7 linked regions of the Rattus norvegicus genome follow. The main gene of each other region encodes a partner of the protein of the gene in region 4 in a complex. Links are inferred from orthologs where the notes say so. Each region holds a gene or a part of one and is shown on either strand. Other genes may lie near its edges.

Region 1 (4,044 bases), on a different chromosome or scaffold from region 4:
AGAGAAGGGGCAATACTGCATCTTCCTGAATGCCTGTCTGTTCCAATGTAAGCCCATGCAGAACGAAGCTCAGTAAAAATGACAGAAACGGACTAAAGTCCCTCAGACAGACTCTCAAATGATCCAAGCTTTGGGATCTCCCATGTGGTAATTCTCTGGAACCTTATCTAACCTGGGACTGAGCTAGACTCTAGCCTTCCCCATGCATGGATGTCATTCAGCCTAGAATTAAATGGTTTTCATGGCTTTTTGAGGCAGGGTCTCACTCCAAGTGATCTTCCTACCTCAGCCTCTTATAGAGGTGTACAACTCCACACCCAGCTTGAAATGCTTTGTTGCTGTTACAAAAATACTCTATGGAAGCAAACTGTTCTATGCACCCAGGAGATAGGTAACAACAGAGGACTTACTGTGAGAACACACAGATGATGTCTCCTTCTGTCAGTTCATAAGGAAGCCCTCCTAGAAGAAAACAAACACTTGGGTTCAACAAACATTAAGCAAGTGTTTACTGCATGCTAGGCACTGGAGGTACAGATTAAACAAGCCACAATCTCAAATATATCAGTCTAATCCAATGATAGAATGAGTGGGTATAGTGACAGTAGTCCGGAAGGAAAGTAATTAACTCTCAGATCTCTGTGAGTTCCAGGCAAGCCTGGTCTACACAGTGGTTTCATAGTAAAACTCTGCCTCAAAGAAAGAGAGAAAGAAAGGAAGAAAGAGGGAGAGGGAGGTACAGAGGGAGGGAGGGGGGAAGAGAGAGAGAGAGAAAAGGAGGGAAGGAGGGAAGGAGGGAGGGAAGAAGGAAGGGAGGGAGAGAGAGAAAAAAAGGAGAAAAGGAAGGGAAAGGAGGGAAAGAAAAGAAGAGAAGAGAAAGAGAAAAAAATAGTAACTCTGAGTGGAAAGGCTGGGGTCATCACTCACCAAATTAATTTTATCTTTGAATCCTCACATCCAAAAATCCTATAAAGCAGGTGATTTCCTGCACAAGACTCAATCTCATAAACAGCAAGTTTAAGTATACTATTATTACCCTCACTTATGTGCAAGCTAAGATTTATAAGGGATAATATTAAGCATTTCATAGGAAACAATTTCCCCTCCCTCCATGTTTTCCCTCAAGTGTAAAAATGGGATGGTATCATATTTGCCTCACAGGAGTGTTAGAGAAATAAAGTAAAATGAGGAATATAAAGTGCTTAACACAATACCTATTACAACAGCCTCTTTCCAAAGGTAAACTGCAGGATTTTGGTTGGGACATAAAGTGAATACAGGATAATAATATTGTCACCAGAGAGTTAAGAGTTCCCCTTTTACAAAGGCTAGTAATGTCTTATCTTGATAATATAATTCTAAAGCAGACTAAGGAGGAAGCTTGAGGTCCATTTTATTAGCATTTGAGAGAGAGCTGATAGGGAAGCAAGTTGTAAGCTTCAGCAGCTACTGGGATGAAGGAGCTGCAGAAGAAGCAGCCATGCCTTCTGAATTAGCGGTCAAGCAAGCAGCAATGCACAGAGATGGAGGTAGAGGAGTGGTTCAAGGGGATAGGAGAGCCTTTAGATTTGGAATGAGACAGTCCAAAGTGTTCCGGGCAAGCATGTTCAGGATTCCAGCCAGCATCCAGAGAATGGACAGAAAGGGAGGGCAGGGGATAAGTGAGAACTCAGAATAACAGGTAGACTTAACACAGAGACCAGTAACAACTGCACTGGGGATCATTTCCCTCCCATGTCCTTAGCGTGTCTTTAGATGACTGAGCTTTCCTGACAGGTGACTCCTGGCCAGAAAATTTAAAGCCTGTTGGATTGTCTTAAGGAAGGGGAACACAAGCATGTAACATTTAGGATTCCTGAAAATGTCCCGGTATCTACCCAGGGCCAGGGGTGTAATCCAGACTGTATTCTTTTCATCAGTAGTTTTCCCTTAATGAACAACAAAGCTCACATCCCTCCACATTTTCAGATAGCCTTTCAAATGTTAAGCAGGAGAAACCCTCAATGTCGTCCAAGCCAGTTAATGTCTGTTCTGGTACCTAACAATACAACAAAGAACTGGGAGAAGCAGCCACTTACAAGAGGAAAATAATTCTGAGAAACGGCAGATAATAGACATGCAATAAGGACTAAGAACACAGCCCTATAGTTTTGAGTGATGCAGCACCTTAAGCAAGCCCAGTAACCCCTGTGCGCCTCAGTTTCCTTGACATCACTATGGGTTGCCTGGGGAGTTAACTGTCTCTAAGCAACCAAGTGGCAAGATTTTTCATATAATGAATGGCAAATACCAATTTCTAAGCAGTATCATAGGGGCCAAGTGAAAAAGGAACCTGTGAGCAGACTAGCTGCAAGAGTGTGAGGTGACGAGCAGCGTGTTCAGAGGTGACGACCAGGGGCGCTAAACAACCAGGAGGAAGGGGGAGGAGGGGAGGGGAGGTACAGACTCTGAAAGGCACTGCTAGAGAAAAATGTAGACCTCACCAAGAAAGATCCAGGCGCTGTCTTTGTATTCCGAGTGCCAAGACACCTTTTCTGCCACCCCAAGTTGAACCTCTCGCTCATTCAGTTCGTTGATCAGCTTCACCTTAGTTAAAGGGCTGTGCGGGAGAAGGGAAAGACGTTTAAGTACATTTCCTCACAGCCCGCCTTCTACGTACCGGTCGTCTCCCGCCCCGAGGCCCTGAAGGCGAGGACCTGTCCCCGCCCTTATGGGCGGCCCTCCTCAATCCATTCTCCCTTCCTCAGAGAAACTCCCTCCCCTGTCCTCAGAGAAACTAAATCCTTACTTCATATTCGCATCTTCGCGCTCCGCTCTTAAGACATCAGCTTCCGGGTGAGGCTCCGAAGCGCGCGCGCAACCCGAACACTCAGCTCAGATTGGAGCCAACGGAAATGGAGGCGGGACTTCCGGCGCGCTAAGCCTCGGCACATGCGCAGTAACGCAAACGCGCTTTCTCACGCTTTTGCTCCAGGGGCGAAATAGTTCCCTAGTTATTCCCTGCTTCCCTTTTTGGTGTAGCTCGAAGGTGGGAACCTGGGCGTTACAGTGGATCCGTGTGCTTCTGCAGTCTGAATTAAATGCCCACAGATTTAAATAACGGATGTGGCCTTTTTCCAGAGGCAGGCAAAAATTAGCATTGTCAAATTAGTACCTAACAATTGAAGAGTTAGAGAATGTAAAGGTTCCAAATGATAGAAAATTTATGCATGTTGTCTCTGTTAGGTCTCAAACCCAGGCTAAGTCTCACACCAGTGGCTGCCCCTACCCTAAACCTCTGCCTCCAAGGGGCTCAGTTTCTGCCATTTTCATTTTTCATTCAATCTCTGTTTCTTTACATACAGGGTTTCTTTGTGTAGCCCTAGCTGTCTTGGACATCGCTCTGTAGACCAAGCTGGCCTCCCAACAACCCCATGAAATACAGTTACCACCCCTACTTTACAGAGGAAAAAAAAACTGAGCTTCAACAAATTAGCTTGAATGTCTAGGGAGGTGGTTCAGTGGTTAAGACCATTTGGTGATTTTTCCAGAGAACCTGTATTCAGATCCCAGCACCCAAAACAAGTGGCTCACAACTCCAACTTCAGAAGATCCATCCTCCTCCTCTGGTTTCTGTGGGCATTTGCACTCCCATGGCATGCACAGATATACATACACATGAGTAAAACTAATAAATCTTTTAAAATTTGCTTAACTTGAAATGTCTTGAGCTTGTACCAATCAGGTCAGGCTAATTTAATCATCCCTTATTGAGCATCTAAATTTGTTCTGTACAGTTGGTCTATAGAAGGAATCTGGAGGACTGGTTTTCTGCATGCATAGAACTAATGGTATAAGGGGAAATCTATATGTACTTGAATACTTCATATCATAATTATCATATAATTAATAATTATTCATATCACAATTATCCAGAAATCAGTATGTAAACAGAAAATAGGAGTTCCTTTTTGTGAGTGTTAGGGTCCAAGAGTAGCAGAAGAATGATACCCCCCAGACTCAAATAGTATACAAAAGCAAAGAGTGTTTATTCAGCAGAATTTC
Region 2 (3,500 bases), on a different chromosome or scaffold from region 4:
GAAAGCCTCGCTGTATTCCTTCCAAGGGTCATTGTCCTCCTGGCAAAGGACCTGTTCTCTATCCACCTCCTTCAAGAAGTCCCTCTCAACTACCTGGCCCATAACAAAGACAACAGAGTCAACTGCCTGGTGTTCACAAGAGTGGACGAAGAGCCGCAGGCACCTCCAAGCTGCCCCTCCCACAACCATCACTGTTCTGTTCACCACTCCTTGCTCACACCTTAACTCTAGTTTCATATTTAGCAAAAGAGGGGACCGCCACTCTAAATACATGAGGACCCAGTTTCTTGATGTAGAAACTGAATTCCATATCCATTTCTTACTGCTCAGAGAGGATGAAGATATACAGTATTAGATCAAGTTCTTCTCAGTTAAACTAAACAAACTAGGCTGAGGGTATGGCTCCTTCGTAGAGCCTGATTAGCACTGTCAAGATTTTGGGTTCTAATCCCAGCACCACCAAACAAAAAGTAAATAAACTACTCTTGTCCCTTCTTATCCCTGACCTCTGACTGGAAGTCAGACAGTGCCCCTTCTCCCTACAGGTCTTGAGAGCCTGCCTGTCACCATGCTTCTCTAAGTCTCCAGTTTTCAGACTCTCACCTGGCTTCGACGTGTGGCTATCAAACTCCTGCTGGGAAACAGGCCGCAGGCAATACTCACTAACATTCACAACGCGGTTGCCTACTGCCAGCCGAACCATGGCTCGTACATTGTCAGGATCTAGGCCTTCTACCTAAGGTGTGAGGGAAGGAGTGAAGGAGAAGGCAGAGGGTAAATGGACTACTGCTGTTAGGCCTAAAATATCAAGCCCTTACCTAGGTAGCCGGGGCTGGCCTATAACTTGGGAGATCCATCAGTCTTTGAGTACTGTGATTCAAGGTGCACACCATTATGCCCAAATGTACATCGTGACCTTTGGTGATTAGGACCAGGCATGGTTCCTTTGGCTCTTCTCTCAAACCATGACTCCTGAGAAATGGGACCAGGTATATGTCTCTGTGTCTCCCTTAGCAAAACGTAAAATGAAGACTTGCGTGTATATGTGGTACACATGCACATACCTGCTGTTTGTGTGCCGTGTGTACATGTGTGTGGAGGACAGATGTTGACAGCAGGTACATTCCTTAAATGTACATCACCTATGCTTTTTCCTTTTTTAAAAAAACTATGTAAACCTCACCCTCAACCTCACCCTAAAAGAGAAAAAAAATTTCTTAAAAAACAAAACTATGTAGATGTAGATAGCCCTGGCTGGCCTAGAACTAGAAGGCTGTCCTCAAAGTTGTAGAGATCTGCCTGTCTTTGCCTTTTTTTAAAAAATATTTTATTTATTATATATTTGAGTACACTGTAGCTGTCTTCAGACACACCAGAAGAGGGCATCAGATCTCATTACAGATGGTTGTGAGCCACCATGTGGTTGCTGGGATTTGAACTCAGGACCTCGGGAAGAGCAGTCGGTGCTCTTAACCACTGAGCCATCTCTCCAGCCCCTGTCTTTGCCTTTTAAGTGCTGGGATTAAAGGTGTGAGCCACCTTACTTCTTTGAAATTGGTATTTATGTGCAAGTATGTTTTTGCCTGCATGTATGTGTTTGTACACCATGTCACGTGCATGCCTGATGTCTGCTGAGTCCAGAAAAGGGTGTTGGATCTCCTGGGACTGGACAGTTGTGAGCTGCATGCAGAGTGGGTGCTGGAAGTTGAACGTAGGCCCACTGAAGAGCAGCACATACTCTTCACCGTGAAGCCAACTCTCCAGCCTCCATCTTCTTCTGAGATAGTAAACCCGAGCTCACTGATTCAGCTATGCTGGCTGGCCAATGAACCCTAGAGACCCACTTAGAATCTCTACTCAGCTCTGGGTTATAGATGCCGTGCATGCTTGGTTTTTATGTGGGTGCTGGGGATCCAAACTCATGTCCTCGTGCTGGCATGCTAGTCAGTCACTTTACACACCAAGACATCTCCCAGCTTTCACTTTTTTCAAGATAGGGTTCAGGCTAGACTAGTATTTATCATACATCCCAGGCTGGCCTTAACTTGCACTTCTCCTGTTTGGTTTCTTAGATACTGGGTTTGCATGCTTGCTTCAGCTTTAATACTTAAGTTTTGTGGAAATTGTAGGATATGGCATTTTCTCCCTTCTCGTTGAGAACTGAGGCTCAAAAAGACCTTGCAGTGGCCACACCTTCCTGGGGTCTTCAAGCTCGGGTAGAAAACCCTTTTTTTTTTTTTGGTTCTTTTTTTCGGAGCTGGGGACCGAACCCAGGGCCTTGCGCTTCCTAGGTAAGCGCTCTACCACTGAGCTAAATCCCCAGCCCCGTAGTAAACCCTTTTTACTGAGCTATCTCCCAGCCCCTTGTTTTATGGACACGGGTTTTGCTAAATACCTGAGGCTGCTTTGAACTCATTACAAAGCTCAGGATAGCCCTGAATCCTGCTTCAATCTCTCAAGAATGCCACCATGTCCATCCCTTGTTTTTCTCCCTTCCCCTTCCTCCCTTTCTCCATGCATCTACACACACTCCAAAATATCACCTGTTCAGTCCATATACTGCTACCTGTATGTACATTTTCAGGGCTGTTCGGCACTGACCAACCCATTGGTGTGCTCTTCCCTAGGAAGATGAGGCTTTATTAAACATCCTTTGGTATTTAGCCTCCTTTTCCTGTTGAACTTCACCAGGTTAGAGCCAGGTGTGTCTAAGAAGATACTCTTCTTGTTTTGCGATACTTATTTGATATTGTTTACATATGCATATATTATATTTTGATCTGTGACCCCAGCTAACTTCTCTTCCTTACCCCTAGTGGACACCTTTTCATTAAGTCGCCCTCCTTTGCGGACATGTTTTACCCGACTCTGACTAGTTCTGGCATGTGCATGTGATGGAGTTTGGCGCTCTCACATTTGCTCCCGTCCCTCACAGCCACTCTCCTTCCCTGTCATTTTTATAGTGTCCCACTGAGTTTAATTGGGGTTACTGACATGAGAATAGGTTTGGAGTTATTTGCCGACCTAGACTATAGAAGTTAAGAGCACTACCATAGCAAACTCCTCACTGTTCTTACAGTCTTTCTGTTCCCTCTTCTGCAATGTTCTCTGAACCCTAGGTTCAGAGTGTTTTGTAGCTGGATCCCTTGGGACTGGGCTTCCCAACTCTGATTGGTTGTGGTTTTTTTATTTATTTTTGAGAGAGGGTCTCCTAGGCTGGCCTTGAACTCTGGGAAATTCCTTTGCCTCAGTCTCCTGAGTGCTGGTATTATAGGTATGTTCCACTATAGCCTGCTTCTTTCTTATGTTTTTTTTCCCTGTTAGGTGCCTCTTCCTACTTACTGAGCTAGATCCCTATTCCTTTAAAATTATTATTTTACTTTAGTAATTGTTAGCCTGCCTTTGAATTTACTATGTAACCGATACAGGTCTTGAGTCTGTGAGCTCCCTGCCTCAGTGTCTGAAGTGTTAGGATTATAGTCATGTACCCATGACACCTT
Region 3 (4,014 bases), on a different chromosome or scaffold from region 4:
ATCCAAGAGGAAAATGCCAGTGGCCTGAATTGAGGGTTAGTAACAGGGAAGGGAAGCTCAGGGTAATTTTCACAATACTGGGCAAGCATGGCAAGTGAACAGGATGTGATGAGGGAAGGTAGAGGGTCTCCAGCTTTGGGTTGGAGCCACTAATATGATAGCAGCGTCCTTTGTGTGAGGCTGAGAGAGGTGCACACCTTCCATAAATTAAAAAAAAAAAAAAAAAAAGAAAGAAACGAAGCTTTTCACCTTCTACTTTCAGGGGAGGCACATTGGGGGGGGGTTCTTTTATAATTCTCTTTCTTCATTTAAAAGTTCCAAAGGAAGGTCAGGGAAGAACTGAAATGTTCAGTTTTAGGAGATCCTTCCACTTGAGATAAACTGGAGAACAGAATTCTCTTTATCGAGCATTGGCCGTCCCCAAAATCTCAATGATGGACACCAAGACAACGTTGGCGAAGCCATCTTACCCATCTCGTGCTCCTCCTGGCAGTTAGGCCCACTGTTCCATAAATTCTCACTATCGTAAACGCTCACGGCATCTCCTCTCACACTACAACGCTTAATGCATATAGCTATGTATATATATATATATATTTATATATCTTAACAAGCAATGCGACTATAACCCCTGCCTTCAAGGCCAGTGGTTTCGCAGGAATGGTACCTTTGGAAAGCTCGTGGCTGCCCCCGTACTTATTTGCGCCTTCTTCATATCCACTTAAGTGACAACTCTAGTCCCTAGGCTGCGGGGTCTACTGAGGAGCAGGAGCCGTTGGGTCGGTCAGTTGGCAAGCTCTCCTCAGATCTCAACGCTTGCGAGACGCGGACCGGCTCCTGGCGCCTTCCGTCCTCGCAGAACCGCAGCGAAAGAGTCTGGGAGGGGGTCGGGAAAGGAAAAGACGCAAGAGAGATTAAGTAATTGGTTCTCAAAGGCACAAGATGATATTTGGGGTCGACTATGAAGCACCGGTTTCAAACGCCCGCCCCCTAAGCAGCCTTGGCTCCGCCCCTAGGCGACGTCACTCCATCTTTTTCCCGTGTCTCTGCGGATTGGTCACTGGGTCAGCCTCTAAAAGACGGTTAAAAAAAAAAAAAAAAAAAAAAAAAAAAAAAAAAAACCAACTCGGGATTTGCTTCCGGGTGTGGAGTTCGCGTCTTCTACACAGCCGTTGGGAGCGCGAAGATTTTGCTTCCGGGTCTTAGTTGAGTCCCAGGTGTAGAGACTGGAAGTTCTGCATTTTGCTTCCGGTTTTGCGCAGAGATTTCTGGGAGTTAAGGGTCGCAATGGTTCGTGAGTGAGCTTCTGAAGGCACTGCGTCGAACCCCCGCCACAGTGAGTAGCAGGGCATAGTGGTTTGTGGTCCCTGTGCGGGCCGCACCGGGGAGTCGGAGAGCCGTGACTATCGTCCGGGCCGCGGTGCTGGAATGGCGGTCGGGAGCTGCAGCCGAGCTCGGGGCGGTCACCGGCGCGGCACCGCTGACACTGAGAAAAGCAAAGGAGGGTAGGATGGGGTAGAAACTCCCACGTCCCACACGGTCTGTCTGAGCATGCTGCTTAAGCTAACGGAGATTTAGTAGCCCTGTAGTTAGGCTGGAATTCTTATTTGACAGCTAAAAATTGCAAAAGGTTCTCTGGTAGCCTAGGCTAGCTTGGAACTCCCGATTCTATTGCTCTCACCCCCCAAGCTCTGGAATCACAGGAGTAGTACCCAGTCATGCCCAGTTCTTGATGTTTGGTTGAGTGGAGTTCCGATTTTCTTAGGATTGCGTTAAGTTACAGCCTACCAAAGCTTTACGAATGTTGCGGTAACTGCTTTAGAGGGAAATTGAATCAACAAGATTCTGGGGTAATGTTGCCAGTGTAAATGTCATTGGGTTTTAAACAAACTCTAAGACACTCAATAAGTTTGCCTGTAACTTTAAAAGAAATTTGTTTTTTATTGGTCCATTTGCTGTAGTGTGAGGTTTCTGATAAAAATGCAAATCTTGGCCGGACAATTCCAGCAGTGCAGAGGCAGTCTGGTAGATCTCTGGAGAGTCCTAGGCCAGCTTGATCTGCATTGTGAATTCTAATTCAGCCAGAAATACATTGTGAGATCCTATCATAAAAAATAAATAAAACAAAATCTCAGAGAACCTAGTGCTAGTGGGATATAAAAAAAAAATTTAAGTCATTTATTTTAAAAGCCACACTACACTGTTGTCCAAGATCTGACATCACGTGTCAGAAATCTCATAATAATTCTATAGAAGTATCAACATTCCACAAGTGATAGAATCAAGCTAGGAGACTTGCGCAGGGCTACCCAGCTAAAACAGAAGCACAGACTCAGACCTTCAGAGTAGTTATTTATATCAAATAAGAGCTGCCTGGCAGTGCATATCTAGTAAACACCCTGAATTTCATGATTCTGCTCTTTAGAGACTTGTACTGAAGCAAACTACTTAAGCAGTTCTGGGGAGAGTTTTGAGAATGATTTAAGGACAGGTAATTATGAATGATCTATAAAATGAAAGTATAATTAAACCCATGTTTGTCAAAGAATAGAAGATGACAACAGCAGCCAGGCCAACTTTTGAACCTGCAAGAGGTGGGAGAGGAAAAGGAGAAGGTGATTTGAGCCAGCTCTCCAAGCAGTATTCAAGCAGAGACCTTCCCTCTCATACAAAGATAAAGTACAGGTAAGAAGCCTTTCATTTGTCCTGTTCACAGAATGGAACCAACCATGACTTATGATCATGTCTAAATTAATAGTATTTAAGTTACCGATCTTCCAAGAAAAGGCTTTCAAAAAGTTTACAATACAATTATTTGCTGTAGTTGTAAAGTGCTCTACGGTCTTTCAGCATAAGTTCCTATTGAGCAGGGATTGCTGGTGTGGATGAAGCCCTCACTAGTCATGATAACCAGCTCAGTCTTCTGAGTGAGTATGGGAGTTGCTGTAACAGCCCTGAGTGGAGGACTGTTTTCAAGAGACGTCCTGCTGTAGGAAGTTGTGTGATACGGAACCCCACGAGTGTATTAATAGCACTCTGATTGGGATATTGTCCTCTTCCGTTTTGTTCTTGATTGACACTTACATTCTGAATTGTCTCAAGTTGCTATAGCCATATAGGTTCTTTTCCTTGACAACTGGGGGCAACATTTTTGACCTGTTTTGGCTTGTTTTGTTTTTCTACTTAAGACAAACCACACAGGATGCCCCTGAAGAGGTTCGCAACCGTGACTTCAGGAGAGAGTTGGAAGAGAGGGAGAGAGCTGCTGCAAGGGAGAAAAATAGGGACCGTCCAACCCGAGGTATCTGCTGTCCCTCGTGTGTCACATAGTTATGTGATGCAAACTGTTTCCTGGTGATTGGAAACAATTAACATTGTTGTGAGCTATACCTCTTTGATAAGAGACAATAATGAGGTTTATTCCAGTCCCATCTTGTCATGCATTGGTACTGAAGACATGGTGACCTGAAGTGTTTAAAACCATTTTTCAGTTCCTGTCAGTAGACTTTGACTTTACAGCAGCTGGAACCCGCCCGAGGCCTTCTGTCTGGGACTCCCCATGTAATTGATGAGTTTTGAGAGAAGCATCAGTTACCCTTTTTATGTTTCTACCACATGTGAGCATTGGCTAGTCTCCTGAGACGCTGTGATCTGCGTGCTCACTAATTCACCCCATGTTAACCAACAAGTATTTATCAGAGACTTACTTGCCCGTCACAGGGTGGGTCCCTGCTGTCACTGTGCTTTGTGTGGATTCTTTTTGCCCAAAGGTTTCTAAAATGTTACTTAAAATCCAGTATGTACTTCAATATGCTAAATGTTTGTTTTCTTCAGAACACACAACTTCCTCTTCGGTGTCCAAGAAGCCCCGCTTAGACCAGATTCCTGCTGCCAACCTTGATGCTGACGATCCTCTCACAGATGTACGTGTTTTAGGTTTGGGTTTGGGTTAGCTTGTGTTTATTTGTTTGCTTGTTTCAAGCCGCCTCAGTGCTGGAACTGTGGGCCTCTGCC
Region 4 (4,013 bases):
GATATGAATTCACAGGGGAATCCGGTCCTCTTTGTGTTTAATGGACGAGAGAGTCATCATCTAACACTGCACTCTGCAAACAGTGAAGCCCTAGAGCTGTGTCCACAAGCACTTGATCCAGCTCCTGTTTCCTACTGGCAAGCAGTACCTGTGGTGTTCCGGGCCCCGTCCTTCCATGTGTCTGGAGTGATAACCCTGCCGAGTTTCTTTTCACCTGTTGTAGCAAGATAGCAAAAGAGTACAACTGTCATCTAATACACACACTGTGTGGAAATAAAATAACAAAACGCATTTCTCTGCTAACGTTACAATAATAATTTAAAATAATAAATATACTGTATTATGCCTGAAGTACATAATGACATGAAAAGTGAGACTACAGTAGGAACCTACTAACACCAGGGTAGAAATCAATGAATGAATGATAGCAACTGTGGGCAACAGATACTGGTTCTAAATAAAACTTCCAGGACAACAAGATGCCCTACCAACAGGTTCCACTGATTATACTTTAAACAATTCTGACAAACGTATTCATTTCTCCCACATTCTCTAATCACCTAGTCTGTACAAAGCACTGTGGGAGGTACTGAGGAAAACAAAGCCATGAGTCTAGATTCAGGGGCTTAGACCCAAGTTCACGAGCTCCTTAAGAGCTTGTAGGCTGATAGCTGGGAGGAAACGAAGCAGGCGGGACTGCACAGAAACCTAGAGCATGTGCTTATAACCTTTTCTTGTTCTGACTGGAGCCTTTCTGAAAAGTGAAGAAGCCTTCAGTAGAACCATAAGCTGGAAGCCTGAGCTGTGAACTAAGGAGATGGAGCTTAAGTGTTGGGAAAGTAGATGAGGAGATGAAGTCAAACAGTAAATAAAGGACACATCCCCAGGTCAGGCATGGGAAGCTCAGGGGTACCACAGTGCACAGAGTACTCTGGCGAGCTCAGTGTGAGGTGGGAGAAAGGAGGTTGGAAGGATAGCTTAGGTGTTTGTCTGTAGAGGGCCTCGGACGTCAAGATCCAAATGGACAGTTACTTCTTAGAGTTTAAGTAGGGAAAAGGTCAGGTGGAGAGGTGAACTGGATACTCAGTGGTATGGATGTGCTAGCTGAGGTCAACCATTTCCCAAAGATCTAATGGATCAAGAGAAACAAAGCAGACCAAGACAAACACCCTGGAACCCAGTAAATGGAAGAGAACTCTAAAAATTTGGAGACAAAGAACTTTTTGAGCAACTTATGACAGAAGGAAAGGCAGAACTGAGGTGGCTGCCTGACAGTACAGCTTCTGTATGAGCAGGAGTTCAGTTTACATACAGGGTGAGTGTAATGAGCACACAGACTAGGAGGTTACAAATAGTAAAACATTAGATTTTTCAGAAGAGCAGAGGAGTAACTATAATAGAAAGAAATGGCCTTTTACTGCACAGCACAAAGGACAGGGTCATATCTACATTTAGGCCACATTTAATTAAACACTTTCCCCACTTTCAAAAAGAATAAAAAGCTGTTTGAGAATGGAGCTGATGAAGGTAGCTAGGAGTGGTCTTCCCGAGGGAAGGGCATACCAATTGGTTGTCCAGTGCTAATGGTCAGCCCGGAAACATACATCCAAGTAACAATATATGAACTGAGCAGGCTGCATTTATAAAACAACTATATACATGTATGCATTCAATACAATTAGTGAAAAAAGAGGTCAGGAATTTGATGGATATATGGGAGAGTTTAGAGGGAGGAAATGGAAGAAAGAAATGTTGCAATTATATTATCTCAAAAATAATAAAGAAATAGAATTTACTGGAAAAAAAAAGAATGGTGGCTGAGTCTGATGCCACAGCTACTAGGTGGTGTCTGTGTCCAGAGTTCTATGTACTGTGGTTGTATATATTAGCCATTAACTGAGATCCAAGTTGGAATCTTGTCAGAGAAGGCTGTCTAGCCCAAGAAAGAGATCAAGAAAAGAAAGCTGTTTTAAACAAATCAACAGCTTTTGCAGTAAAAAACAAAAAACAGAAAACGAAAAAACAAAACAATAAGTATTTTCAACAAATCTCAGGGGTTTCATTGGAATTACTGAATGGTAACTTAAAGAGTTAAAAAGACCTTTCTAAAAGCCAGGGATGACTACATAGATTTCTTTGGTGGTGATGAGACTCTCTCCTTCACCTGACCTAATGCTGTATTAATGAACTGACGGGATGGTATAAGATATTCAATTAAACTTAATTTCAGATGACCACTGAATTAATTTTTAAAGTAAAATCTGTATTAAATGCGGCATGTTTTGTAGTAAGGAACAGCGAACAAAAGCCAAGATTTAAATATTATGCGGGACATATTAATAATACTAGAAATTAATCATTGCCTATAATCTTATAATGTAACTGAGAGCCTGGGATTTATATTTGTTACACCTGGCAACTCTAGATGCTACCAGAAAGATTTTTAAGTCTCTGGGATCCTGTCAAGAAGTTATAATTAAAGAGATCCAAGGAGGGCGCGAGGACGGTGACAGAAACAAGCATAGATGTGCAGAACTGAGACCATTCTGAACACAAAGCATAGGGCTATAGGGTCCCGGGATAGGCAAGGACCGTGGGGCAAGGAAGGAAGACAAAGGTTATACTACAGACCGGTGAGAAAAAACAAAGGCCGAAATCCCAAGAGAATTTCGTCGGGTTCCTCCAGCCTCCACCTCCCACAGAAGCAGCGCCTTAACTTACACTTTTCACACACCATCCTTCCACGGGTCGTCCTGTCCCCCTCAACCCGCAAAGCAGGAGCAGCTGCCAAAATACATCAACAACACAGCTGAGAAGACTTCCTCTTCCGGTTACGTCAGTTCGCTTCCGTACTCAGCCCTCCCGCTCCGGCCTATCCAGGATGGAGAAAGTCGCGGGAGGGATAAACGCGAGCTCATGGGCGGGGCTTCCTTTATCGGTCCGCCTCTTCTCTTCAACGATTGGCTATCCGCTTGTGAGTCCCCCGCCTTCTGGTCTGCGCCTGCGCGAGGGGCCATGGCAGCCTGTCGCACCTGAGGGTGGGAGGCGGTGGTGTCCCCTTCCCTTCGGCGGGCGGGAGAGTTAGGTAAGCGGGAGGGATGCTTCCTAAGTTCTCCTGGGGCAGGTGCAGGTCGCTCTGCGGACTGCTGCCGTGGCTTCCAAGGCGCCACGCTTCCGGCGGGCCAGAGGATGCATGGCGCGACGGACCCTCTGAGATCCCGGCGTCTGTCGGCGGGACCGACCCTCTGTCACCGTCTCTCAGGTTACCGGGTCGGCCGCCCGGGCTCTCTCTGATGATGCCCCTCAGTTGCCCACACTCGCGCTGTCCGGGGTTGGGACAGAGTCACCTGGGTGGGGTTGAGCCGCGGTCAGCGCCCGGGCAAAGGCTGCTCAGGAGGGTTCGGGAGCAGCCATGCCTTCCCACCGGGCTCTCGTGGGATCGCGACTCCGAAGGGCGGCTTCCCAGGTGTGGCGTGCTAGGGAAACTCGCCCGCCGGTGCCCGAGGAAGGGCTCCATTCAACCGGCCTTTGCGTTTGGGCACGGCTCGCCGTGTTAGATAGGGATTTGCAGGTGGCCCAGAGACAAGCTCTACTTAGAGGATGGATTTCTGATCCCCCTACCTGCCCGATCCCTCAGTGGAGGGGAGAATCTGAGAAACTTTTCCGAAGTCTTTTCATTGTTATCCGTTCTTGTCCGGACCCCGGAGGGTGTCTTCATGTTAAAGAGGCGATACTTGAAATGGCTTTAGTGTGTGTAACCTTGGCCGCTTCTGCTAACTTGTTTAGCCGGTTTGCTTAATCAGTACCATATTTGCCTTTGAAAACGATAGTGTGAATTAAATGAGGGCAAATAGGACAACGCCCAGACTTGCACTTTTACGTTCCCTGTTAATTTCTCCTCCTTTTGTGTGGATGTTCCTTTTTGGGCCGGATTTTTACCACATTGTAACAATTGCTAAAGTTCTTAATTAATTTTAGTCAATATAACATAAAAAATGTTCTTTAGGTCAAAC
Region 5 (2,431 bases), on a different chromosome or scaffold from region 4:
AAGATGTGTGCTGCCGGGGTTGGGGGATATAGCTCAGTGGGAGAGCGGCAAGGCCCTGGGTTCGGTCCCCAGCTCCGAAAAAAAGAAAAAAAAAAAAAAGATGTGTGCTGCCACCACCTGGCAAGATGCTTTATGACAAAGTTTAGACAGAAGAATAAATATTAGATGGAGTTGCACAAGTCTCTAGTCTCAGGAGTCAGGAGGATTGCTGTGAGCTCAGGGACAAAACTTCGCCTCCCCCCTCTTACATCAAATAAACAAAAGTACCCCCAAACTCCTGTATTTTCAATTTGTCTGTCATCATCCATCCTCTCTGGCTATGATTGCTCTTACCCCATTCTTAAGATTTTTTTTTTTTTTTGAGAATACAATCTTCATCACGCTATTCGCATATCCTCAGGGAGTACCATGAAAGAAGTACAATTATCTTTTTCTGAGTAGTTTGTACCATGCGAGAAAGTGCACAACCCCCAACATAAGGCAGAAATCAGCAGAAAAACACAAGATGAAGAGAAAGAGGTTTCTTGTCTCGAGCCATATCCGACTTCAAGGAATAGCCTATGAATGACCTTAAAGAGGGGTTGTTTGCCCAAGGCCACAGAGCCTAGGTGGGTTGAGAAACTGGCGCCTGGAACTCCTTAGGGAAGCCATTAATGAGACTACCAGTGCTGACACTGATCAACAAGCAGCTAGCGAGAGTCAAAAAACAAAACAAAACAAAACAAAAAAAAAAAAAAAAACAACAAAAAAAAACTTTTCCCGGTACCCAAATCCTAAGAGACAAAACTTGGGCCAAGGCGGAACCATGCCACCATGTTAACTTCTAGGTACAAGAGTTAGTTTTCCTCGTTGCTCATACTGTTGTGTTGCGGCAGTATGAGATTTCAATGACAGTGGGATTATGAAACCCACGTAGGTTTCTCCTTCTTTGTAGCCCGGAGCCGTGGGATGAAGCTTCGAGGTTTTTGGACATTGTCCTATATAAGCCAGGCAAAACCCCTCAAAAACAATCTAAGACAAACTCTTTGGACTACATGTCCCAGAATGCAACGCGAGGGTTAGAACGTGATCACCCAAGAGCCACTAAGAGGACCATCATGCAACGCTCTTCGAAGTAGGCGGGCTCCGTGAGGAGACGGCCCACTGTTTCCTAGGCAACCCCAATCCCGCAACAGACTTTATTTCCCCTTCCGCCTAGGAAAAGAAAGTACTCCTGCGACTGCGTGTCGTCTTTCTCCTGCGCCAGCACGAATAGAGCTTTTGTGCGGCGGCAGCGGCGGCGGCGTCTCTCTGATTTGAACGCCGAACAGCGGTAGCTTCTCATCTGTGGCCTGACCTCGAAGCCTAAGAACAGAGCGGCGAGATGACGGACCGGTACACCATCCACAGCCAGCTCGAGCATCTGCAGTCCAAGTACATCGGCACGGGCCACGCCGACACCACCAAGTGGGAATGGCTTGTGAACCAGCATCGGGATTCCTACTGCTCCTACATGGGTCACTTCGACCTCCTCAACTACTTCGCCATTGCTGAGAATGAGAGCAAAGCGCGCGTGCGTTTCAACCTGATGGAGAAAATGCTGCAGCCCAGCGGGCCGCCGGCGGACAAGCCGGAGGAGAACTGAGGCGAGCGCTTCCCAGCCTTCCCCATCTGCCATCTGTGGACCGATCCTCCTGACTCCTGCTTCTCGACCATTCTCCGTTGGGTGTATCGCCTGACCTGCTTACCTGTGGACGGTTCCGAACAAGTCATCGAGAGACTGTCGGGTCTCCTGGGAGCTGTGCGGAAGGAGTGATCCCAGAATCGGCAAGCGAGGGAGAAGACTGCCTGGGAGTGATGACGCATTCCGAGTCAGCTTTTCGATAGTTGATGTCGTTCTCGCCTTTTTTTTTTTTAAATATATATCATACATAAAGTTAGGATTTGTTATATCTTTTGGTTTGAATTGCTGTGTTCTTTGGGAGGTATTTGGAGAGAGTTCTGTGGATCAAGATTTCGTGAGAATATGACTAGAAAACGGGGGCGGAAGCACAGGGCAAGCGTTTATTGACAAGTACTTTAGTTGTCACACACACTTTTATGATCTTCCCTCACCTCGATTTTCTTCATGCCTACAGTGTGTCTGGTACCAAGGAAACCTTCAAGCATGGAGTTTTTCCACATTCCTTCCCACCCATTTCTAGTCTTTGCTGTCATTAACCTCACTTCCCTTTATGCTGCAGCCCCCTCCCCCCTTTCTTGGTAATTAGTTTGTGTGTCTTCAGAAATGACAAACTGGCAAACAATGGTGTCCTGTCCCGACCCTGCTCCACCTCTCCCCATTCAGTTTTCACCAGAGCATTTTCCAAAGGTTTGAGGACATACATTATGCCGGCCAGTTTGGAAGCAGATATGCTAAACTAGTCAAGAGTTAGAAGATGGAGGGGGATGG
Region 6 (4,104 bases), on a different chromosome or scaffold from region 4:
CTTGCTGAGTACTGGTACTAAAGGAGTATACCACCACACCTAGCAAGTTGTTACATTTGCTTGTTTGTTTTTAAAACAGGGTTTCTTTGTATAATCCTGGCTGCCCTGGAACTTGCTTTGTAGACCAGGGTGGCCCTGCAGTCAGAGATGTGCCTGTCAAGTGCTTTGATTAAGATAAGCACCACGACTCATGATGAAGTTTCTACATTAGTAATGTTATCTTTCAAATGGCAATTGTGAAAGCTGGCCTAGTTAATCTGGGTAACATAGGCCCATGTAACTAATCATTAAAACTTGGATCATAAAATAAAAGAATGACTCACAAGTACCCAGACTCTGTGTGTGTGATTTCTTTTCTTTTCCTTTTCTTTTAATGTGGGTTCTATAACATGTGTCTTTAATTCCAGCACTCTACGCTGAGCCGAGGAGACAAAAAGGTTCTCCAGAAGCTTACACACAGGCCAGCTAGGCTGACATAGGCAGCATCACACAACAAAAAGACACTGCCTTAAACTAAGTGGAAGATGAGGGCCATCATCTAAAGTTATACTCTGAACCTTCTAATGTATGCAGTGGGACAACCATGAAACTGAAAGACCCCCAAACTTGGGGAGACCCTCGCTCCAGTCATGGGTTGAGGTGCCCCCAAGAAACGCGAGTAGCCGGTCTTGATGTAACAGCAAGAGGTAGCGTTTATTAACGAGATCCCAGACCGACACTTATCTCACACAGGAGACAGAGGAATCGGCCCCGAGCCTCTTCAGGCAGGGGTTTATATAGGAGAAGCCAGGGGGTTTCGCATGGTTATCAGCAAGGGAAATGGGTACAAGGTCTCATCTGCAAGCAGTACGTGCGGGCTGGGGTGTTCTCAATATAGGAGAACGTCTTATCTTTATCTGTAGAGCAGGGAGTCATACGTCCGGATGGCCCCCTTCCTGGAACAATCCCTTGACCTTGTTTTTAGGCTTGGCCGGGCACATCTCAGGCCAGCTCTGTCCTGTCCCCTTATCTGCTGTTCTTTTGCAGTTTTTATGAAGTTTTTATTTTAACTCTTCAAAACAAGACACACACACACACACACACACACACACACACACACACACACACACACACACACCTCATGTATATATACACAATTTAAAAATATTTGTTGAAGGAATGAGCTCCTGTTCAGAAATGCTTTTACTCTATGAATGTGTCAAATCATTTCCTACAGTAAACAACCAGTTCCAGCATAGCTAAAGACTCATATGAAACCCTCTTTTATTTCTTAAAAGTGTCAAACAACTAAGTCTGGGCATGATTCACCCTTACTTATGCTCAATACCTCTCAGAAGCTAAAGAAAACATAGTATTAATTCATCTGCCTAGCTATTCTTTCATAGTGCATGAACTCCACAGTGTATGTGAAGCAATGTTCTAGGTCAGTGGCTCTCAATTCCTAATTCTGTGACCTTTTAATACAATCCCTCATGTTGTAATGACCCTCAATCATAAAATTATTTCCATTGCTATCTCATAACTGTAATATTGCTGCTGTTATAAATCCTAACATGAATATCTGATATGTCGGATGTCGGATATTCAACCCCTGTAAAAGGGTTATTTGACCAAAGTGGTCACAAACCACAGGTAGAGAATCACTGTTTCTAGATGTTTATCTTCACTGATAGTGTTTGCATTCTATATAGGAAAGAAACAAAAGTAATATACTATTAAATACTTGGAAATTGTTGAGACCCAGGGCATCACTGAGATTTGCTATTTTATAGGCCTCTTTGTTAAGAGTGACGTTTGAACAGATAAAATAGCATACTAGAGAAATGAACAGCAAAAGTTAAGGTCCTGCATTGGGGAATAAATGGTCAGTCTATTTTATCTCTACGAGCATTTATTAGTTAAAATTAATATTGTCCTCTAGAAATATAGCTCGGTATGAAACCTATCAGGGAATCGATTCCCATTCCTACCCAGTAATATTCCTCACTCCCCCGCTGCCTCTGACAATTATCTCAAAAGATATGTCCTCCAAGATGTTTTCCCCATCATTTCCTGTTTTTCACTCCGCCTTACTATCATGGCAATATAATCTTCTTCAATTCTTCCCAACCAAAGGCAGGTGTGTCGATGCACGCCTGTAATTTTGAAATAGGGAATTAGCAGCTAGCCATATATATATATGTGTGTGTATATATATATACATATATATGTATATATGTATATATGTATATATGTGTATATATATGTATGTATATATATATATGTATATATATATATTTGTGTGTGTGTGTGGGTGGGGGTGTGTGTGTGTAGCACACCAACCTTGCTTTGTATCATCAGCACCTAGTAGAGTGCGTTGTGCCAAGGAGGCCTTCAATAAATGATGGTAGAGAATGCGCGACCTCCAAGTTAAACAACTAAAAAAATGAACAATCTTAACGTAAGTCTTAAAAACAACAGACACTAGAAGGCGCTCACGTGAGTTGGATCAAGGAAGTTAAGGGGTCAGAAGACTAGCGAATAGAGAAGTTGCTCAATAACTCTCAAAAATACGCTGAGACATGTCACTGTAAATAGTATAAATGCAACAGTGGCCATAAGCATGATGTGGAGGGCAGTCCTTTTGGTCTTTCAACTCCCTTGCCACCCCCAATCAGGTTGCTCTTAATTAGGATGTCCAGGTGGTAGAGGCTCTCACCTTCCCATTCGTGGGCGGCTCCTGGATGTAGATGTTACTCATCTTGCTCACTGCTCAAGACTCCGTTCCTTAGTGTGGCCGCGAGCGAATGGCGGGTCTCTGACGATGCCCACCTGTTAGTAGACAATTCTTTACCTGGGTACTTGGGGAAAACTTTACTCGGTCAGAGTTAGACAGGACAACCGTACTAAGCACTAGCTACTCCCCCAAACTATCCCCTCATGGACGTCGCCATGTTGCTCCCGGATCGCAGCACCGCTAACTCCGGGAGGGGGGATGTCCCTGTTCTTCAGGAAACTAGAAAAGACTATAAGACCTCTGCAACTTTAGAGAATTTGTCGTGTCATTCATAATACTAGCTAAACGGCCAATCCGTAAATCCGGGTGCTGCGTCCAGGTCCGGTGTTTGCAGATAGCACTCACCTCCGGAAGCTGGCCGAAATGGTTCAGACCACGTGTGCTCCGCGGTAGGACACCCCTGGAAACTGGGTCCGCAGCTTCTTAGTTCCGCCAACCCTGGATGTGCATCCGGCCTTCTCCTGCCCTGTGAAGTTGTAGTGACCGGGTGGGAGAGATCCCTCTGCTAGTGCGTTGTCCTCGCTAAGGACCTGAACGAAACGCGATCTCGAAAGCTCAGGACTCCGGTGACCCCACTCACCTGCATTATGGCAGTCCCAGGTGAAGATCAACCGCAGGGCTCTCTCACTCCAGAGGAATGAGGCGAGCAGGGGAGTCCAGGACCGGGGGTGGCAGGGAGCACTTGGGGATTCAGGCGAAGGCCTGAAAATTTAGAATCGGTTGATTTACATGAAAAAGTTTACACTACAAGTTCAAAGAGGGCTGGGAAAGATCATCTCTGTCATTCTTGTGCAAGCCCAAACTGCACAGGATTACAGGGAAAGTGTATTGTAAGAGGGACAAGAGAGTTGGTGACAATGAGAACTGTAGGCCTAAGGGGACAAGTTGCCCGTAAGACTGTAACTTTCACTGAATTTCAAAATAAAATTCGAAGTGTGAACTTTTGGCGAATCCAGGTGGTACATTGTAGTGAAAGTCATCCAGTCAAGAAGTGCACCTGGGGCTTGTCCTAGCTCTTCCAGCCTTTAGTTACAGTGTAGCTGTAGGCCGGTTTCTGTGCCCTTCTGGGGCCTCAGTTTCCCTCTTAGTTTCAAGAAGGCGCTTCCTTGAATTGTATCAAAGATTCTTTTGTAGGTTCCACTTTGGTGTTCAGAGGTTTCTAACCTAGACACGGCACACTGGGCTCCGGGGATGTTTTTGTTTGCTGCTCCAGTTTACTGGGGAGCCTCAAGAACTTCCCCAAGCCGGCCTTGTCAGAATGTGTTTCTGCAAAAACCCTAATATCGGGCAGGTGTTTTTAAGAGATATACCCACCTTACATCTCCAAG
Region 7 (4,195 bases), on a different chromosome or scaffold from region 4:
ACAATACGTTTTAACTAGATTATAACATTACATGTACAAACATCTGAAAAGAAGAGTGAGCTTAATGAACTATGAGATGTTAGACATTCCTATATTACTGAGGGGGAAAGAGATGGGTTAGAAGGAAGATGACCCCAAGTGGAAAGGGGATTTGTGGGTAAGAGTACCAGTTGCTCAGTATTGGCATTACTGCATTGAGTGATATGCACAAGGTCTCCTTCCTTATAAAGCGCACGTTTTAATGGAGAGAAGCATCTAATTGTTCATGCATATCAATAGAGGACTATAGATTTAAAGAATAAAATAAAATAAAGGACTATAGATTTATCTTGACATTACTAAAATTATTTTGAGTGGAAACTATCAAAATTATCCCTGAGTCACCATGGTCAGCTTCCCAGAATAAAATAGACAAATCACGAGAGAGTTGTCTGAAGCTTTATGACAAGACCTTGGCCTAAGGATGTACCTGACTCTGATTAGCTTGAAATAGACAAGAAATACTCTTAGTTGGGTGAAATCTGGTGATGCATGCTGGCCCCAAACTTGCACCACCATGCCTAGCTCTGAAATAACTTTCACCTGTTTATACCCCACATACCTTCTAACCCTAATCACAAGGACCTATGTGCTTTTCCTGATGCCCAGGCCAATGTATCTGTTGTAAGTCACCCATAAACTGCACACTGCAATTCTGGGCTTCCCTGCCTCCTCCTTTGATCTCATTGACCCGTGGGACCAGTTCCCATACATTGGAACAGGGGCGTTTTGTGACAAAAGCATATTCTATGAAAACAGTATTCTAGATATTGGAGAGCACAGTAAGCAGTTGTATTCCCTTGCTTTCAGACACAACATTCTCCTGAGGACCAAAAATAATACGTTTTAGAATCAAATGATAATAAATTAATATTATCCAAACTTCTTGTGATAGTGGAAATTATTTGCACTATATTTGTAATTATATCAATTGTAGATGTTGTGTTACTAAATTTAACTGTGTGGTTATTGCAAATAAGGAATTGGATTTTTTTAAGTCGAAGGACTTACTATATATAAAATGAAAGGTTTATTTAAAACTCTGTCCAAAGATCTGATTGGCTTAGCTTAGCCAACGAAAGACAACTTGCAGGATTGATTTCCCTGCTTCCAACATGTGGATCCCAAGGATTAGGCTCGGATCTTGGAGGGCTTCTCTCAGAACTTTTCCTCCTTTGACGTGTGAAAGTTCCAGGCCTTCACAACTGGTTTTAATAAATTCATAAGTGGTCTCGGACTCCTGCAGGTGTAGTCCACCAGCCCTTCCGCCCTCCGAAGGCGCAAAGCGCTCCTCCCGTCGCTAGGAGCCGCTGTCGCTCTCCCGGTCGCCGGAAGGCAGCGCGGCTTCCGCGTTCTCGTCGCGCATCCGCAGGTCTCCGCGCGCTCTTCCGGCCATTCATACTCCTAGTCTGTGGGTCTTTGGAGCCTGAATTCCGTGGACAGTTGGACTAGAAGGGAGACTGCGCCGCTAGGATGAAGCTCGTGAGGTGAGGAGGGTTACCTGGCTGGGGGAGAGCGGCGGGTAGAGAGTTTGGGCCAGCTTAGGAGGCCGGGCCGCTGTGCTCCCAGGGAGGCGGGAAAGCCGCGTGCGCGCGGCCTGCTAACGGCCTCCGGCGCCCGGGCCCCGCCGCGCCCTGCTCGTCGCCCAGAACCCTGGGCAAGGGACCGGCGCGTTCAAACCCCCTCCGGTCTTACAGGAATGAAGTGGCCAAGCCGTCTCTGTCCACTTCTCATCCGGCGACTTAAACGGAGCAGTGGTCCCTCCGTTTTCGTGGCGAGTCGGAGCACTTGCAGTGACGAGGATTTAGAAGTAGGATGGTTTTATCTGCAAATAACGACGCCGATTTGCAAGACGTTTTAGATTAAGTTCTCCTTAATTTTGACCGACCAAAGCATGTAACTCGTTAATGTAGGCTTCTGACTCAGGAAAGACAAAGTGTCTCTGGATGGGGCAAAAGGTAACAAGTTAATTTCTCCTGATTGCATAGATTATGTCGGAAGTGGAGCCTAACTAGAGTCTTGTTTGCTGGTTTGATTAATTCCAAACTTACAGACTTGTGGCCAAGTCTGGGGCAGGGTATATAATATCTAAGCCAGTTTTTAGAAATATTTAGTTTCTTGTGTCAAGACCTGTTGTAGTTGACCAGAATGCCTTTGGACACTTTAAAGTGCTTCCCAAGTGCTAGATTACAAGCATACATTTTTCTTGGTTTTGCTCATTAGAAAGTAAATTACTATTTGTGTGTGCTCGTGCACAGGTATGTTATAAGACAATTTTTGGTAATTTGTTTTTGCCTTCCACCAGGGTCTCAGGGATTAAAACTCAGGTCCTCAGCCTTTACAGCAAGTACTTTTTACCTGCTGAGCCAACTTGATGGCCCTGCTCAATATTTTAGTCAATTAATTGATTTTGTTAGTGGTAATGATTGGTTTTGGGGTGAGAGAGTGCGCGAGTGTGCTCCTTGGTTGGCTTGGTGCTCACTGTGTAGACCAGGCTGGCCTTGAATTCACAGAGATCCTCCTGCCTCCGCCTCCCTAGAGCTGTATTAAATGATGCACTACCATGGTTTGATTTAGTTTGGGTTTTGAGATTATATTTATGTGCAGGGTGGAGGGTGCCACAAATTAGGCAGAGGCCGGAGCATCTATGTAAATTCAAGTCCATCCTGATGAATTCCAGGATAGCCAAGGCTACACAGAGAAATCCTGTCTCAAAAAAAAAGAGTTGCATTTATTTATGGGGGAAGTTTGTGTGCACAAAGATGAAAGGACCCGTAGGAGGAGTCGGTTCTCCATTATTGGGATCCTCAGACTTGGCAGCAGCAAGCGTTCACCCTCTGTGCATATATACCGGCTTGCTGTGCTTCTTCCCAACACCCCTCCCCCACCGTTTTTTCTTTTTTTGCATAGATAGAAAATTGGGAGATTGTTAATTGTTACTGGTGAGGGCCTGCATAAATGGGTTTGTAACGGCAGAAAGTTGAAAACATCATTCACAGTGGGGTAGTTGACATTTCCATATAGTAGATTACTATCTAGCTCTTGGAATATTTATTTTTAGGGAATTATCCCCAGTGTAAACTGCTAAATAAGCTCCAAGTACTATTGATGCCATTAAAGAATAGCCTACTTTGTGTAAAGTAGAATCTTACATGTATGCTTGTGGGTTAGAATAATATCCCTGTTTACCAAAATGCAGGAAAAGAGAAGTTCTTTATTTCTACCATGTAATCTTATGCTATCAATTAGAATTCTATTTCCTTTTTGTGTCTGAAAATTAGTCTAGGGTCTTTTGTTTGTTGAGACAATTTCACTGTCACTATGTAAAACAGGCTGGCCTCCAATTCACAGAGACCCATTTGTCTGTCTAGCAAGCACTGGAATTAAAGGATGCACCACCACTCCCAGTGCTACTCCAGGATCTTGAGATATCTTCATTTAAGGTTGTTTTGTAATAGTCTCTTTCTAGTATTCTCTAGTCGGAAGCTCAGGACAGCCCAAGTTTACAGACTCGGGTGAAAGCTTATTTGAGTGCTCTGCAGCCTGTGAGCTGCAGGTGGACCCAGTAACGTCCAAAGATGCCAGAGGAAAGTTTATTGCTTCATTCTTTTATAAGTTTATGAGTTTGGTTCAGAAAAAGTTAAGCACTGTGTATTTATTATGAAGAATTATTTTTAAGATGTTTATTTTATGTGTGAATGTTTTATCTGCATGTATGCATCACAAATTTGCCTGGTGCCTAAGGTCAGCGTAGGCCTCCAGATCCTCTGGGAGCAAAGATAACAAATGTTTGTGAGCTTTCGTGTGAGTTCTGGGACTCAAACTGGGTCCTCTGCAAGAGAGGGGAGTGCTCTGCACTGCTGGTTAGCTATCCAGACCCCATATGAACTGTTGTGGCATTTTAAAGATTTTGATCTCTAGCATTTTTACTCTACCGACTTCATCAAAAGACTTAAAATGTTAAGGTAAAAAATCAGGACTTTATTTCTTTTTATAGATTTTTGATGAAATTGAGTCATGAAACCGTAACCATTGAATTGAAGAATGGAACGCAAGTCCATGGAACAATCACAGGTGAGAAGACTGTTTCTGAAATGTTTTTGTTTAAGGTTTTTTGTTTGTTGTTTTCTTCCTTGTGTTTGTTTAATGAGCGTTG

Evidence for each region.
Region 1: Cript (region 4) and Rbmx2 share a complex: the UniProt entries of both Homo sapiens proteins name them as parts of the minor spliceosome. The link is inferred for Rattus norvegicus from reciprocal best matches to the Homo sapiens genes CRIPT and RBMX2.
Region 2: Cript (region 4) and Gpkow share a complex: the UniProt entries of both Homo sapiens proteins name them as parts of the minor spliceosome. The link is inferred for Rattus norvegicus from reciprocal best matches to the Homo sapiens genes CRIPT and GPKOW.
Region 3: Cript (region 4) and Cwc15 share a complex: the UniProt entries of both Homo sapiens proteins name them as parts of the minor spliceosome. The link is inferred for Rattus norvegicus from reciprocal best matches to the Homo sapiens genes CRIPT and CWC15.
Region 5: Cript (region 4) and Sf3b5 share a complex: the UniProt entries of both Homo sapiens proteins name them as parts of the minor spliceosome. The link is inferred for Rattus norvegicus from reciprocal best matches to the Homo sapiens genes CRIPT and SF3B5.
Region 6: Cript (region 4) and Cwc27 share a complex: the UniProt entries of both Homo sapiens proteins name them as parts of the minor spliceosome. The link is inferred for Rattus norvegicus from reciprocal best matches to the Homo sapiens genes CRIPT and CWC27.
Region 7: Cript (region 4) and Snrpd1 share a complex: the UniProt entries of both Homo sapiens proteins name them as parts of the minor spliceosome. The link is inferred for Rattus norvegicus from reciprocal best matches to the Homo sapiens genes CRIPT and SNRPD1.

The regions. Positions count from the first base shown.
Region 1 is NC_086039.1:132,765,151-132,769,194, reverse strand, and holds the start of Rbmx2 (RNA-binding motif protein, X-linked 2), read right to left. Parts: upstream 2,801-4,044; 5' UTR 2,794-2,800; coding exon 2,789-2,793; intron 2,600-2,788; coding exon 2,484-2,599; intron 463-2,483; coding exon 411-462; intron 1-410. UniProt on the Homo sapiens protein: Involved in pre-mRNA splicing as component of the activated spliceosome. As a component of the minor spliceosome, involved in the splicing of U12-type introns in pre-mRNAs.
Region 2 is NC_086039.1:17,468,299-17,471,798, forward strand, and holds part of Gpkow (G-patch domain and KOW motifs-containing protein), read right to left. Parts: intron 737-3,500; coding exon 604-736; intron 1-603. UniProt on the Homo sapiens protein: RNA-binding protein involved in pre-mRNA splicing. As a component of the minor spliceosome, involved in the splicing of U12-type introns in pre-mRNAs.
Region 3 is NC_086026.1:19,585,702-19,589,715, forward strand, and holds the start of Cwc15 (spliceosome-associated protein CWC15 homolog), read left to right. Parts: upstream 1-1,214; 5' UTR 1,215-1,336; exon of another isoform or gene 1,337-1,505; intron 1,506-2,546; exon of another isoform or gene 2,547-2,551; 5' UTR 2,552-2,554; coding exon 2,555-2,685; intron 2,686-3,188; coding exon 3,189-3,301; intron 3,302-3,834; coding exon 3,835-3,923; intron 3,924-4,014. UniProt on the Homo sapiens protein: Involved in pre-mRNA splicing as component of the spliceosome. Component of the PRP19-CDC5L complex that forms an integral part of the spliceosome and is required for activating pre-mRNA splicing.
Region 4 is NC_086024.1:13,340,135-13,344,147, forward strand, and holds the start of Cript (cysteine-rich PDZ-binding protein), read right to left. Parts: upstream 2,801-4,013; 5' UTR 2,738-2,800; coding exon 2,722-2,737; intron 215-2,721; coding exon 149-214; intron 1-148. UniProt on the Homo sapiens protein: As a component of the minor spliceosome, involved in the splicing of U12-type introns in pre-mRNAs. Involved in the cytoskeletal anchoring of DLG4 in excitatory synapses.
Region 5 is NC_086019.1:9,175,971-9,178,401, forward strand, and holds Sf3b5 (splicing factor 3B subunit 5), read left to right. Parts: upstream 1-1,218; 5' UTR 1,219-1,363; coding exon 1,364-1,624; 3' UTR 1,625-1,931; downstream 1,932-2,431. UniProt on the Homo sapiens protein: Component of the 17S U2 SnRNP complex of the spliceosome, a large ribonucleoprotein complex that removes introns from transcribed pre-mRNAs.
Region 6 is NC_086020.1:37,706,539-37,710,642, forward strand, and holds the start of Cwc27 (spliceosome-associated protein CWC27 homolog), read right to left. Parts: upstream 2,801-4,104; 5' UTR 2,741-2,800; coding exon 2,699-2,740; intron 1-2,698. Other genes in the region: protein SREK1IP1, read left to right, coding at 3,364-3,376. UniProt on the Homo sapiens protein: As part of the spliceosome, plays a role in pre-mRNA splicing. Probable inactive PPIase with no peptidyl-prolyl cis-trans isomerase activity. As a component of the minor spliceosome, involved in the splicing of U12-type introns in pre-mRNAs.
Region 7 is NC_086036.1:1,968,279-1,972,473, forward strand, and holds the start of Snrpd1 (small nuclear ribonucleoprotein Sm D1), read left to right. Parts: upstream 1-1,395; 5' UTR 1,396-1,512; coding exon 1,513-1,526; intron 1,527-4,036; coding exon 4,037-4,113; intron 4,114-4,195. UniProt on the Homo sapiens protein: Plays a role in pre-mRNA splicing as a core component of the spliceosomal U1, U2, U4 and U5 small nuclear ribonucleoproteins (snRNPs), the building blocks of the spliceosome.